2 linked regions of the Daphnia pulex genome follow. Each later gene encodes a partner of the first gene's protein in a complex. Links are inferred from orthologs where the notes say so. Each region holds a gene or a part of one and is shown in the gene's direction. Other genes may lie near its edges.

The links. The genes of interacting proteins can lie anywhere in the genome.
Region 2: DNA polymerase epsilon subunit 3-like (region 1) and DNA polymerase epsilon subunit 2-like share a complex: the UniProt entries of both Homo sapiens proteins name them as parts of the DNA polymerase epsilon complex. The link is inferred for Daphnia pulex from reciprocal best matches to the Homo sapiens genes POLE3 and POLE2.

What each region holds. Positions count from the first base shown.
Region 1 is NC_060025.1:6,578,374-6,583,697, reverse strand, and holds DNA polymerase epsilon subunit 3-like, read left to right. Parts: upstream 1-2,378; 5' UTR 2,379-2,526; intron 2,527-2,727; exon of another isoform or gene 2,728-2,750; 5' UTR 2,751-2,761; coding exon 2,762-2,947; intron 2,948-3,018; coding exon 3,019-3,103; intron 3,104-3,161; coding exon 3,162-3,358; 3' UTR 3,359-3,435; downstream 3,436-5,324. Other genes in the region: E3 ubiquitin-protein ligase LRSAM1-like, read right to left, coding at 3,592-3,711, 3,781-4,089, 4,168-4,411, 4,480-4,564, 4,627-4,903, 4,973-5,074, 5,146-5,175, 5,295-5,324. UniProt on the Homo sapiens protein: Accessory component of the DNA polymerase epsilon complex. Participates in DNA repair and in chromosomal DNA replication.
Region 2 is NC_060027.1:5,847,939-5,854,048, reverse strand, and holds DNA polymerase epsilon subunit 2-like, read left to right. Parts: upstream 1-2,889; 5' UTR 2,890-3,021; intron 3,022-3,126; 5' UTR 3,127-3,134; coding exon 3,135-3,199; intron 3,200-3,439; coding exon 3,440-3,590; intron 3,591-3,649; coding exon 3,650-3,846; intron 3,847-3,909; coding exon 3,910-4,123; intron 4,124-4,218; coding exon 4,219-4,340; intron 4,341-4,401; coding exon 4,402-4,543; intron 4,544-4,605; coding exon 4,606-4,841; intron 4,842-4,957; coding exon 4,958-5,138; intron 5,139-5,197; coding exon 5,198-5,374; intron 5,375-5,446; coding exon 5,447-5,533; 3' UTR 5,534-5,602; downstream 5,603-6,110. Other genes in the region: egl nine homolog 1-like, read right to left, coding at 6,066-6,110. UniProt on the Homo sapiens protein: Accessory component of the DNA polymerase epsilon complex. Participates in DNA repair and in chromosomal DNA replication.

The sequences.
Region 1 (5,324 bases):
TTATAACGTCGAGGAACGATAGAATATTCTCCGTGATGAAAAAGGGGGAAAAAGTAAAATAGAGTGTAGCTAGAAGAAATGAGTCTATCTGGTTATGTATGTTACAAGAGCACAGAGCGATAGTAATATACATTCACGCACGCTATCCTATGTAAGAAATGAAATGAGTCTAACAGGATCTTTTGATTTCCTACACGCCCGTTACGCACACGTCCCGCAGCGACGGTGCTCTGATGACTGAACTGACTTCCAGTTCATCAAAGGTTGGAGGAAACCTGGCTGCTCCACCCCCTAAAGGCACTCACTGGCTGCTCCTCTTTGCTGGCTGTGTGCTGTAGCTAGCTGGATATCGCGTGCACACAGCATCCGAGGCACACCAACAGCAGCTCTCATGAACCAGCAGAGCGAGAGAGCATGTACCATACTACTATACCAGACGTGAAAGGATATATGGGCGGCAGACAGAGAGAGGGAGGATGTATGTAGTGGGGTGTGGTGACGGGAGAGCAAGAGCTCCATATACCTTTCGAGGACCGCGCAGCAGCAGCAGCTGAAAGAGATACTTACATAATAAGTAAGCAGATCGAAATCATAACTCCCGATAACTCCGCGTCGTTATAGATCCCGTCTAGCGTCTACAAACAAGGCATGGCTAAATATATATACGCGTATACAGCACACAACCAATTTCGACCAATTTCGACTTTTCGCTTGGTTTGTATTGCAGACGTAATCACCCGCTCTTATTGCTAATTCCTGCGGGATCCGGATCCCATCCATTCCACTTTTCGAAAATAAAACATGAAAGCGAAAAACATGCGGGGGAAATAAACTAACAAGGCGCGAAGCAATTGATTATCTTATTCGTCGCCAAGTGCTCACAGACAGTTCACACGGCCGATCTCTAACAAAATGTGTTAACGGGAAAGCGCATGTCAAACTTTTTGACAAGAAAGTCTGTCACGCGTGTCAAGGATGAGAAATTAAAAAACAAAAAACAAAACTCCCGTGTTAAATCCTGATGGGATGATTGCTGGTGTACGCCCACGCGGATAAAAATATACAGGATAAAAAATGATGCGATTGATGTCTTTGAAAAATTTTGAGATCGGAAAAATTATATATGAAATTAACGATGATTAAAGACAGTTTGATTACCTAGTCTATTTAAAAAAAAAGATGAACCATTATTTTAGTAGAGATTTGTTTCTTAAATTGTTGTTATTTATTTATAGAGAAACTTGGGAGTAAGCAAAACTTGTTCATTTATCCGTCTCATTCAAAAGAGCGTCAGACTTATTTCTTCAACTTTTTGTTTTTCCATCCACGTCTGATTTACAGTTTCCGATGTGGGCGGATGTAGGTCTGAAGGGGCCAATGGTAGACAGCGACACAGCGTATATCAGTTTTGTATCCGTTGCCTGGAGTCGGAGTGGATGAGTAGTATCCCGGGGCATATCCTGCCTTTTCTCTGATTCCCGACTCTCACACTTTGTGTAGGATTTGAAAATATATCTTTGGATCAAACTTGTCTTGAATTCCATGACCTGATTTGTAGGCGACTGGGGATGGTAGGAGGTTTCCGAGAAACGAATTTTATAAGTGAAAGTTAGAGTCGCAAATCAATAATCTAACTTCTCGTAATTTCGGCGTTTGGCAATCTATTATTCCCTATAGGCTATATACGGGTGTATAGCAAGCGATTATCCATTCAAAAGTTTTCAGGTACACACAACAGTCATTCCCTTGTAAGATTAGCATCGATGGAAATCTAACTTTTGGCTGCTAAAGGAAGTTTGGGTCCCTTTGACTCGGAGATGTAGAGTGGCTTGGCGAAAAGGAGGAAAGTTTGTTATCCTATTACACATGCCGCTCTTGACACTATCTAACGACAAGTCTAACGATCTTTTGCCGTCTTTTGCGTACGTCATATTTGGTGATCTCCATCCATTCCGTCAAAATCGTTATTGAATCTAATAAGAACAGAAGTGATCACGATTGTTAAAATTTTCATGTCGATTTGTTTTAACATCCAAGTGTTGTTCAAGATACAATAAATAATACTAGTAAAACAAAATCGGTTCAAGTTAGAATAACCAATCTAAGCTGCTGAAGCAACAATGTACTGTAAATACTAAATATTGGTGTAATAAAATTGATATTTCACTAGTTTGATATTTAACCTATATCTTGTCTGTTCATATATTAAGATCTGCTTATCTTCTTCGTGCTACATAAAAAAAATTATTATTTATCTTTATCATACGCCTCTTTATTATGCGACTCGCGACTGCTGGTCTAACGGGGGCGAAAAACTTATTTGTGCAAACGGTTAGAATATTACTCACAGATGGCGATGTGGTCTTGGCACTTCTTATTTTCCCGCCCTTTATTGTAGCAGAAGCAACATCGAAATCATCAACTGTGACTGTGTATTTGTTTCAGCAAAAATCTGAAGTTTTCAAGTGTCGGAGTGTTGGTTTCGGTATAATCGGAAATAAATTATTGTAGGAGAAGTTTTGACAGGTAGGATGTTTTCTTTTTCCTATGAAAATCTTGTAACAAGTGTAGTTAATTTTTTAAAAAGTTTCTAGAAATCTCTTGGAAATGACTAAATGGTGTTATTATTTGAAATAATAAGTGACATTTTCTCTCTTTATTGATTTGAATAGAATTCATATGATGAAATATATGTTTTGTTCAACTAATGTATCTAGCTGATGACAGGAATTTTGTTTTGATTTTCCCAGGTACGTAAGCAATGGCAGAACGACCTGAAGACTTAAACCTTCCCAACTCAATAGTAGCAAGAATCATAAAAGAATCCTTGCCAGAAGGTGTTAATGTGTCTAAAGAGGCTAGAACCGCCATTGCTAAAGCTGCTTCTGTATTTGTTCTCTATTGCACATCATGCTCTAACAATCTGGCTATGAAAGCTAACAGAAAGGTGAATCACAGAATCAGAAAATTTTGTTCCATTCTCTCAATTATTTACTAAAATTTTTTTGTTAAATAAAGATCATCAGTGGCCCGGATGTCCTGGGAGCAATGGCTGACATGGAATTTGAAAGATTTATTGAACCACTACAGGCTTCTCTTGAAGGTAATTTCTCTTTTTCAAAACAATTTTTAGAATGTCAACATGTTCTTTTCTTTTACAGTGTACAAGAAAGCACAGAAGGAACGCAAAGAAGCTATGGCTAAACGGAAACAGGAAAAATCCGACAAAAAACCGGAAGATATTGAAGAAGGATCAGATGAAGGTGGAGAAAATGATAATGGAAATGATAATGAAAATGACAATGAAAATGATAATGAAAATGAAAAGGAGAATGAGGATGAAGAAGTGGATGAATGATCTTAAATGACAAAAAAATGTGTGATAAAATTTGTATTCGCACGACAAAAAAATTAATAAAAGAAAAAAAAACACGACCTCAAATAGTTTGTATACTGTGAAAATTAAAGTGTGATTTACGTCTCGAAACGACAGTAGCAACAGACAAGATAAAAATGAAGAAAACATTTTTTTTAGGATGCCAAAGGCACAAAGATATGACCGATGAAAAGCTAAAAAGCAAATAAATAACATTATGAGTGAACCTGCAGTCGTTTAACGATGGTTGCCCGGCACATTGGGCATTGATTTAGCTTGTTGCCACATCCAGAACAACAACATAAGTGTCCACAAGAAAGGAATATAACTTGGCACTGTTTAATATAAATGCAATTAGAATGAATTCGTTTTGAAAAATTGAACTGTAATAAATGTAAGCTTACTGAACTGTCCAAGCATATGACGCAATTAGTTTCCATAAAAACTTCCATCGGAGGAGCGGATGCCACCTCCTCATCATCGAGTACAGAGGAAGGCGCACTTGGAAGATACTGTTGTGCATGTTGAATATTATCAGGCATGTTATCGATTAGACGCTGATACTGGACAAGCCAATAGTCGGCCGCTTGGTTCTGTCGCTGGACTTCCATTTCTTCCAAGAGGTGTTTTAGATCTTTACGACGCAGCTGCTGTTGCTCTATTAACTGGGAAAGCAAGTCAGCCAGTTGTATACGATTTTCCGAGAGCAAGTTCTAGGATCGATAAGAAAAAAAAAAGGAATTAATAAATGACCAAATTAAAGTCATACGTATTTCAGACTTTGCACTCACGTTAGTAATATCGATTTGCCTGCTTTTGCGCTGTAATTCCCAAGCGGTAAGCTGATTAAGTTTATCTACTACGGCTCGAATATCTTCGCTAAGCTGGGTGGTCCGCCGATCACGCTGGGATAACAATGACGAAAACGCTTGGTACTGCCAAGATTCTTCTTCTAATAACGACATGACTAGAGCAGCTTGGTCTTTTTGCCGATGCTGCAAAATTTGGTCAATCTGACGATTTTTTACTTCATCCCTAAAAATTAACCATAAAAATCTTTTAATACCAACAAAATTGTGTTCGATAATAATGCTTAGGCTTACTCCATTTGCACCACATTGAATAGGGTTTTATTCAACATTGTTTTCTGACTGGATATGTCTTGTTCAAGCTGGGTTTTCATAGCATCTGTTCAAGAAGTGACCGGATTTTTACAAGTTATAACATTTCAACTTGTGATAATGATTTACTCAAAATATCTTCTTTTCTAAGATTCTTGAATTCTTCTAACTTGAGGGCCAGTAGGCAATGACATTGATTTTCTTCTGCTTTTACTAGATCCTGAAGTTGTATCTGATCTCTGTGGGCCTGGATATTTTTTAATACATAAACAATACTGGCTTCCATTTCAGCTTCAGTTTTATAAAGCTGTTCTGAAAACTTTTGCCTTGATGCTTCCTGTTGCTGATGAATCTCTGCAAGTCGACTTTCAACTTCTTTTTGGCTTTCAGTAATATGCTTCAGAAACTGTAATAATAAAAATTGAAATCACAACAAAAAAACAAAATAAATTTAAATTATTTACGGAAATTTAACCTTGTTATGATTTGCTTGAGAGAAATTTTTAAGTTGGGCTTCTTCTGCCAACCGTTTTGCCTGTTGTTCTTCAAAAGCCAGTAATTCCGTTCTTCTTCTTTCCTACTAACATAAATTTACAACTTATTGTCTAGAATAAAGATTTAAAAAACAGATAACATTTCATGTCAGACCTTCTGCTGTGCTAGAGCTGCCAGACTTTGCTAAAAACAATTAAAAGCAGTTAGTTATAATATTATAACAAATAAAAGGTTTTCGCCAAATTATTAAGATATATAAGGAATCCAACTCTTATTTTACTTGGACAACTATTGATTCATACCTCAGTCTCCATCTGAGAGTGTTCAATGAA
Region 2 (6,110 bases), on another chromosome or scaffold:
GCAAGTTAGGTGGTGGAGAGGTAGATTTCTGGCCAGTGCCATGTTTTTAAGTTGCAGATGATTTGGGAGCTGACTTTTTGGCTACTGTCTTTTGTACACTGATATGGGAGTTTTCATCATGGCATCTCTTACTGACACCACCACATATTTGTCCTCTGCACGACAAAATATTTATGAAAAAGAACACATGATGATGTAATATTAAGTTGTATTACCTGAACACGTGATAACTTTGCATGATCTAATTTCATGTTGAACTGGGGATCTAGATTTGGTAGTCAAGTCAACTGAGAGGCTCCAAACAGGATTGATGTGAAACTTAGGTCAACTAAATAGTTCATAGATATTTAGAACAATAAGAATAAGTAATAAAAAGCTATATGCTTATTTGATTCCGATAACTCTTTTTTTCCTAACAAAAACTCTTAATTTCTCGAGGTGATCCAGGAAACTCTGGCCACGGAAATGTTTTGGCACTGCTATGGCCTCCAATATATGTGCCAATGGACAATTCCTCATTTTGAGTGAAAGTTACAAGTATGTAAACCACAGCACTGTTAAAAAGGGTATCATTTAGTTGTGGTTGACAACCACCGAAAATAGGTGAATGTACGAAATTGTGAATCTTTTCGCCAATTTCGGGGTTTTACGCACCAATCTAATATTTTTCAAATTTAGTGCAAATATTTGGGGCAAATAACCCCGAACTTTTTGGGCATGGCCGGAAATTTTGGGAGTGCATACTTGGGTCATAGATTTTAGTTATTAGCAAGGCAATCCCGCCGGAAACCGGCAGAGACATGTTGACGAAGTTCGGTTTTTCTCTAAACAAGCGTAGGGTCAATCCACGCCGATCCGTCAGATCATGGGCGTGGGTAAGTCACCAATTTGTTTGTTTTTTTTTATTTGAATAGTGGATTCATATCTTTATGAAACACTTATTTCCAAAAATTCAGTGTTTTTGGACCAAATTGCGAGATATCGCAAAATAAAAATCGTTTTTTTTTTCATTTTGCCATAGAGGATTTTTACCGGTGTTTTTTTAATTTGTTTATTTTTTGTCCCTATCATTTCATTTTATAAGAAATATACAAGTTTTTAACCAATTTTTCACTAGCTTTCGTTTGGTTCTATTTATTTTAATAAAAAATCATTTCGAAGTATAGTAATTGAACTTTAAAGTGCATAAAAGCTTCATTGTTCAAAAATCGAAAGCAAAAATCTGCTACTTTCGGAGAGTAGGGGAGAGGGGGCTAGTACGCAGGTGGGGTAAGTTGGCATTTTGCTATTTAGACCCCTTACAGACCAAAACAAATCAAGCCTTTTACACCAAATATGAAAGACAACACCCAGATTGCTCCTACAACATTTCAAAAGTATAAGACTTCCCCAACAGGAGTTATAGCAAAAAGAAAGAAAAAAACGGCAAAAAGTTTTTTTTTTGCCTCTCAGCACTTTTTATTTTTCTAATAGTATAAAACTCTAAGAGTGCCAGAAAACCCAAGCAAAAAATAATTAATGTTTGTCTTATTTTTAAAAGAAACCCGACATTTCTACATTAAAAAGTTATTTCGTTATCAATTTATTTGTTCGAAAAGCACCCTGTGGGGTTAGTTGTCAGTAATTTTGAGGGGCATGTTGGCATACAGATTTCTCACGAGATGCTGAGTTGCAAGTTTTCAAAATTCGACCTAGAAATTTTGGAGCAATGGAGAATCGTCAGCTGCCAACTTACCCGTAGGTGGGGCAAGTTGGCAGACTTTTTTTGCAATTTTTCTCAATTTCACAATTTCTTTTACATTTAATTTATCGCATTATGATACTTTCGTGTGTACACGAAAGTTAATCGCAAATAAATCATTAGTGATATGCGTGCAAACATGGAGCTAGATCAAACGCGAAATATTTGACTTAATTATTTTTCGTGTTGCGAGCCGCCTAAAACAGCGGACGGGCGACGCTTAAATAGTGGACGTATCCGCGATAAGCGCTAAATAACGGACTGGCGAGCGCTAGTCGTCCGACCAGTCACAGCAATCGTTTTTTCTTGTCGCGCCCCTTAATTAAATTTAGTGTGATGCGCGTTAAGTAGCGTAAATTATTTACTTTAGCGGTTTCGTTTTTCGTAAATAATATTATGAAATGAATTGCCAAATTTAGCGTATCGTGCGCCCATATCCTCCGTTCGTAGTACGTTTCATTACATTTTCAATAGTAGTAGGAGCCGAGCTAGAACATCCCCACTTCTTCCAAGATGATAGTGATAGCGCTCCCGTTCCCTAGCTATAAGGGGGCGAGTGAATGAACAATTTATCAAGGTGGCTGCTTTTTTAACAGCTAAAATTCGAGATTAAATTTTAAATTTAAAAATGGAATTGGTAGAATTATTTATTAATTTTTCCCGTCGTCACGTTTGTGGTTCTTTTCCTCGTGTATTTTCGTTAAATTGGTTTGATTCTTGTTTGATATGAATTTTATCGATTTATAAATGTTTAGTTCATGATTGATAAGTATGTCATCGATTCAATTATGTTTAATCAATTAATAGAGGAAGTGACTGTCGCGAATCCCCCCCTCCCTGTTTTGTGAACACACTTTTTTTTTCACAAAACAGAGGGGGTACGCGTCAGTCACTTCTTCTATACGAATAACATGGTTGATTTCTTGATAAAAACGTGTGAATTGGTAGGTTTAATAGGGGAAAGAATTATAGATTTGCCGTATGAAAGCAAAGACGACAACCCATACCAGCCGGTACACGGCAACTTCATTTAAATTCCGGTTTGCATCTTATTTAACAGCCAAGGTCCGGTTTTCGAGCAACAGAACGATTATTTGAACTTTGTCACTAGATGGGTCTGGACATCGGACTCAATTTGACGCTTTAACTAGTCCTGATTCCAATAGGCGCGGCCTTTATTTATGGGGTTGTTCTTGACTTCTGGCAAAGCAGAACAAAACAGATTCGGCGGGAAACATATCAACTGTGACGATTAACACCGGACACGGTGAAATTACTAGGTACGTAGAACGGTAAAACAATAAAACATGAATAGATCAAAATATTACAGAAGTTATATTAATTGATCTTTGCTGTCCCTTTGAACTGGCCATTCTATTTCTCAGTTCTGAAAATGAATAGTCGATTTAAAAACGATATAGTTATGACCTTCAAACTGAACGGCCTGACAGTTAGATCGTGAGTAAATGTTATTTTTTAGTTTGTTGTTAAGAATACGAATTACTGTTACTGATGCTACATATTTGAAAAGATTAACCTAAAAGGCTCAATCAGTTAGTAGTTCTGAAATAGAAAAGCAAAAAGAACAGCTTAGCTAGCTTAAAAGTAAACAAAACAGTGTTAAATCTGCAATTTTTATTAAACTTCTATTTCAGTTATTTAGCTTACAGTTTACCATTTTGTTTTGTGTTATTTCAGGGAAGCTACCAAATATATTATTGGTTTGCTTACACCCTTACACAAAGATGAGCAAGTTCAATGGCTTGAGAAGTTGATTGATGTGATACAAAAACAAGGTCTGTTGAACAGCACAACTGTTGAAAAATCTCATGTTGAAAGAGCTGCTAAGGTATAATCTCTTGATTTTAAATAAATATTTGTTTTGCTTATTTTTATTTAATCCAACAGGAGTGTTGCCAAAATGAGTTTGATGAAACAACAGTTTTATTAAATGTAATATCTGCTTTTGATGTTCCCAAATTTGTCTACAACACTGAAAGAAAGAAGTACCTTTCTTTTGATGCACCTCATTCCATAAACTTGTTTGGTGATCCAAGAGATAAGTCTGAAATGTTTCGCCATCGATATGCCATTCTCCATCAAAGGTTGTAATTAATTATATTGAAACCATCCACTTAATAATAGTCACAAACTCTTTGTCATTCCAGGACTTCTCGTCATAGTCTTTTCACTCCATCTGTGTTAGGGTCAGGTTCAACTGCTTCTCAAAATAAATATCAACTGCAACCAATTGAATATTTGCTGGGAATGTCAACTAAACTTACCAATCTTGTGGTACTTGGAATGTTAACTTATTTAACAGAGGGCAAACTGCATTTAGAAGACATGACTGGATCTGTGCCTATCTCATTGAAAGATACTGTAACTATTGTTATTTATTTTTTTCTGTGAATGCATATTTGATATTCACAAAAAAATGTTTTTCCAATTGAAATATGAAATCCTCTATTCTTTAGAATTTCCATGGTGGACTCTTTACTGAAAACTGCTTTGTTCTGGGACAAGGCTATTTCCAAGATGGAGTATTTCACATTGAACATTTGGGGATGCCTCCACCTGAACCAGCTAAAATCACTAGGTACGTGCAGTTTAAAGTAAAAATCCTCACAGTATTAATATTCATTAATTCAACATTACAGAACTTATTTTGGAAACACAAACTTTTTTGGTGGTTCAAGTACATCAACTTTAAAAGTTTCTGTCAAACTAAAAGCGATAGAAGAACAAAATCCGGATGCTATGATGGTTTTTCTTTCTGATGTGTGGCTGGATCAAACTAGAGTATATAATTTTAGACAAGTCTAATTAACTTTAAAAATGACAACAGTTTTTTGTTTAAATAGGTTATGGAGAAGTTACGAATACTTTTCGCTGGGTACTGTGAAGATCCACCAATATGCTTTGTGTTAATGGGCAATTTTCTATCGGGCACTACGTGCAACACTTCTTCTGGTCACTTGCGCCAGTTATTTAAATCGCTCGCTGAAATGATAAAAGAATTTCCTAATCTCGTTGAGCAAACGCGCTTTATTTTTGTTCCGGGGCCATCTGATTCAGGATTTTGTAATATATTGCCCAGGTTAAAATTTATTTTAAATTGTAGTTATTTGTATTTTCAGATTTTTTCATTTACTGTTGCTGAAGATATTTACTTGTTATTTTTCGGTTTCGAAGTAATTTTAACTTTTCTTTTAGGCCTCCTCTTGCGGAAGTGATCCGGGCAGAATTTGTGCAAAGAATTCCAAGTGGTATATTTACTACCAATCCTTGTCGAATTCAATATGGAACAAAAGAAATTGTAGTTCTGCGCGAAGATATTTTGACTAAAATGTGTCGCAATGCTATTAATTTCCCTTCTGATGATATTCCCCAACAGGTATGACAAGGTTTTTGCTAGTTTAAACTACAAGTTACTAAATTTTCCTGTTTTTCTAGTTTGCGAAAACGTTGACATCGCAGGGACACTTGTGTCCTCTTCCTGGGGAGATCTGCCCTGTCTATTGGCCATACGATCATGCACTGTATCTGTATCCCTTACCTGATGTGGTGGTTGTTGGTGATCGTCTTGGTGGTTTCACAGCTCAAAATATGGATTGCGTCATTTTTAACCCAGTAAGATATTTGGTTTAGGAAAATTCAAAGTATTATGGATATTCTATAGATAGCTAACTGTAATATTAATAGGGACCATTTTCCCGCAACAACTTCAATTTCAAAGTGTACATCCCAATACGGTCCCAAGTGGAAGACAGTGAAATCGGTGATACTTAAATAAATATGCATTGCCTGAAATTCAAATGCTACGGATTTTTTCAAATAAAAATAGAAGGATATCTTTTACTTACGTCTCCCGATAATTTATTTACTTTTACCACACTCTTCCTTTATTCAAACAAATCATCATAATAAATTTAAAGTAAGCAAAATTGTAAACATACAGCCATAGTAATAATGAGGTTTATGTAGGACTGCAAAGAAATTCAACTGATGATTGTAATATTGGAACCAAGTAAATAATTCACCTTTACAATGTAATTGACGACCAAAACGAATAATTCTAGATTTTTTTTTATTAAGTTTAAAAACAAGGGCTTAATATGTAAGGGGGGAAAATGGCTGTACACGAGCCTCGCACCTCCGTATAGTGACAAGGAGAATCCATTTAACATGACGTTAAACCAGATTTCATCGTTTATGTTGACGTATATACTCTTGATCAAGGCGGCAAATCATTGCAAGCAATTTCATTCATTCACTTGGTTTCATTTTTTCTTACAGCGCCTTAAAAGTAATGCAACATGAATCACTGGGAAACGGTGGATGATATGGATAACTTACATTCCCGATT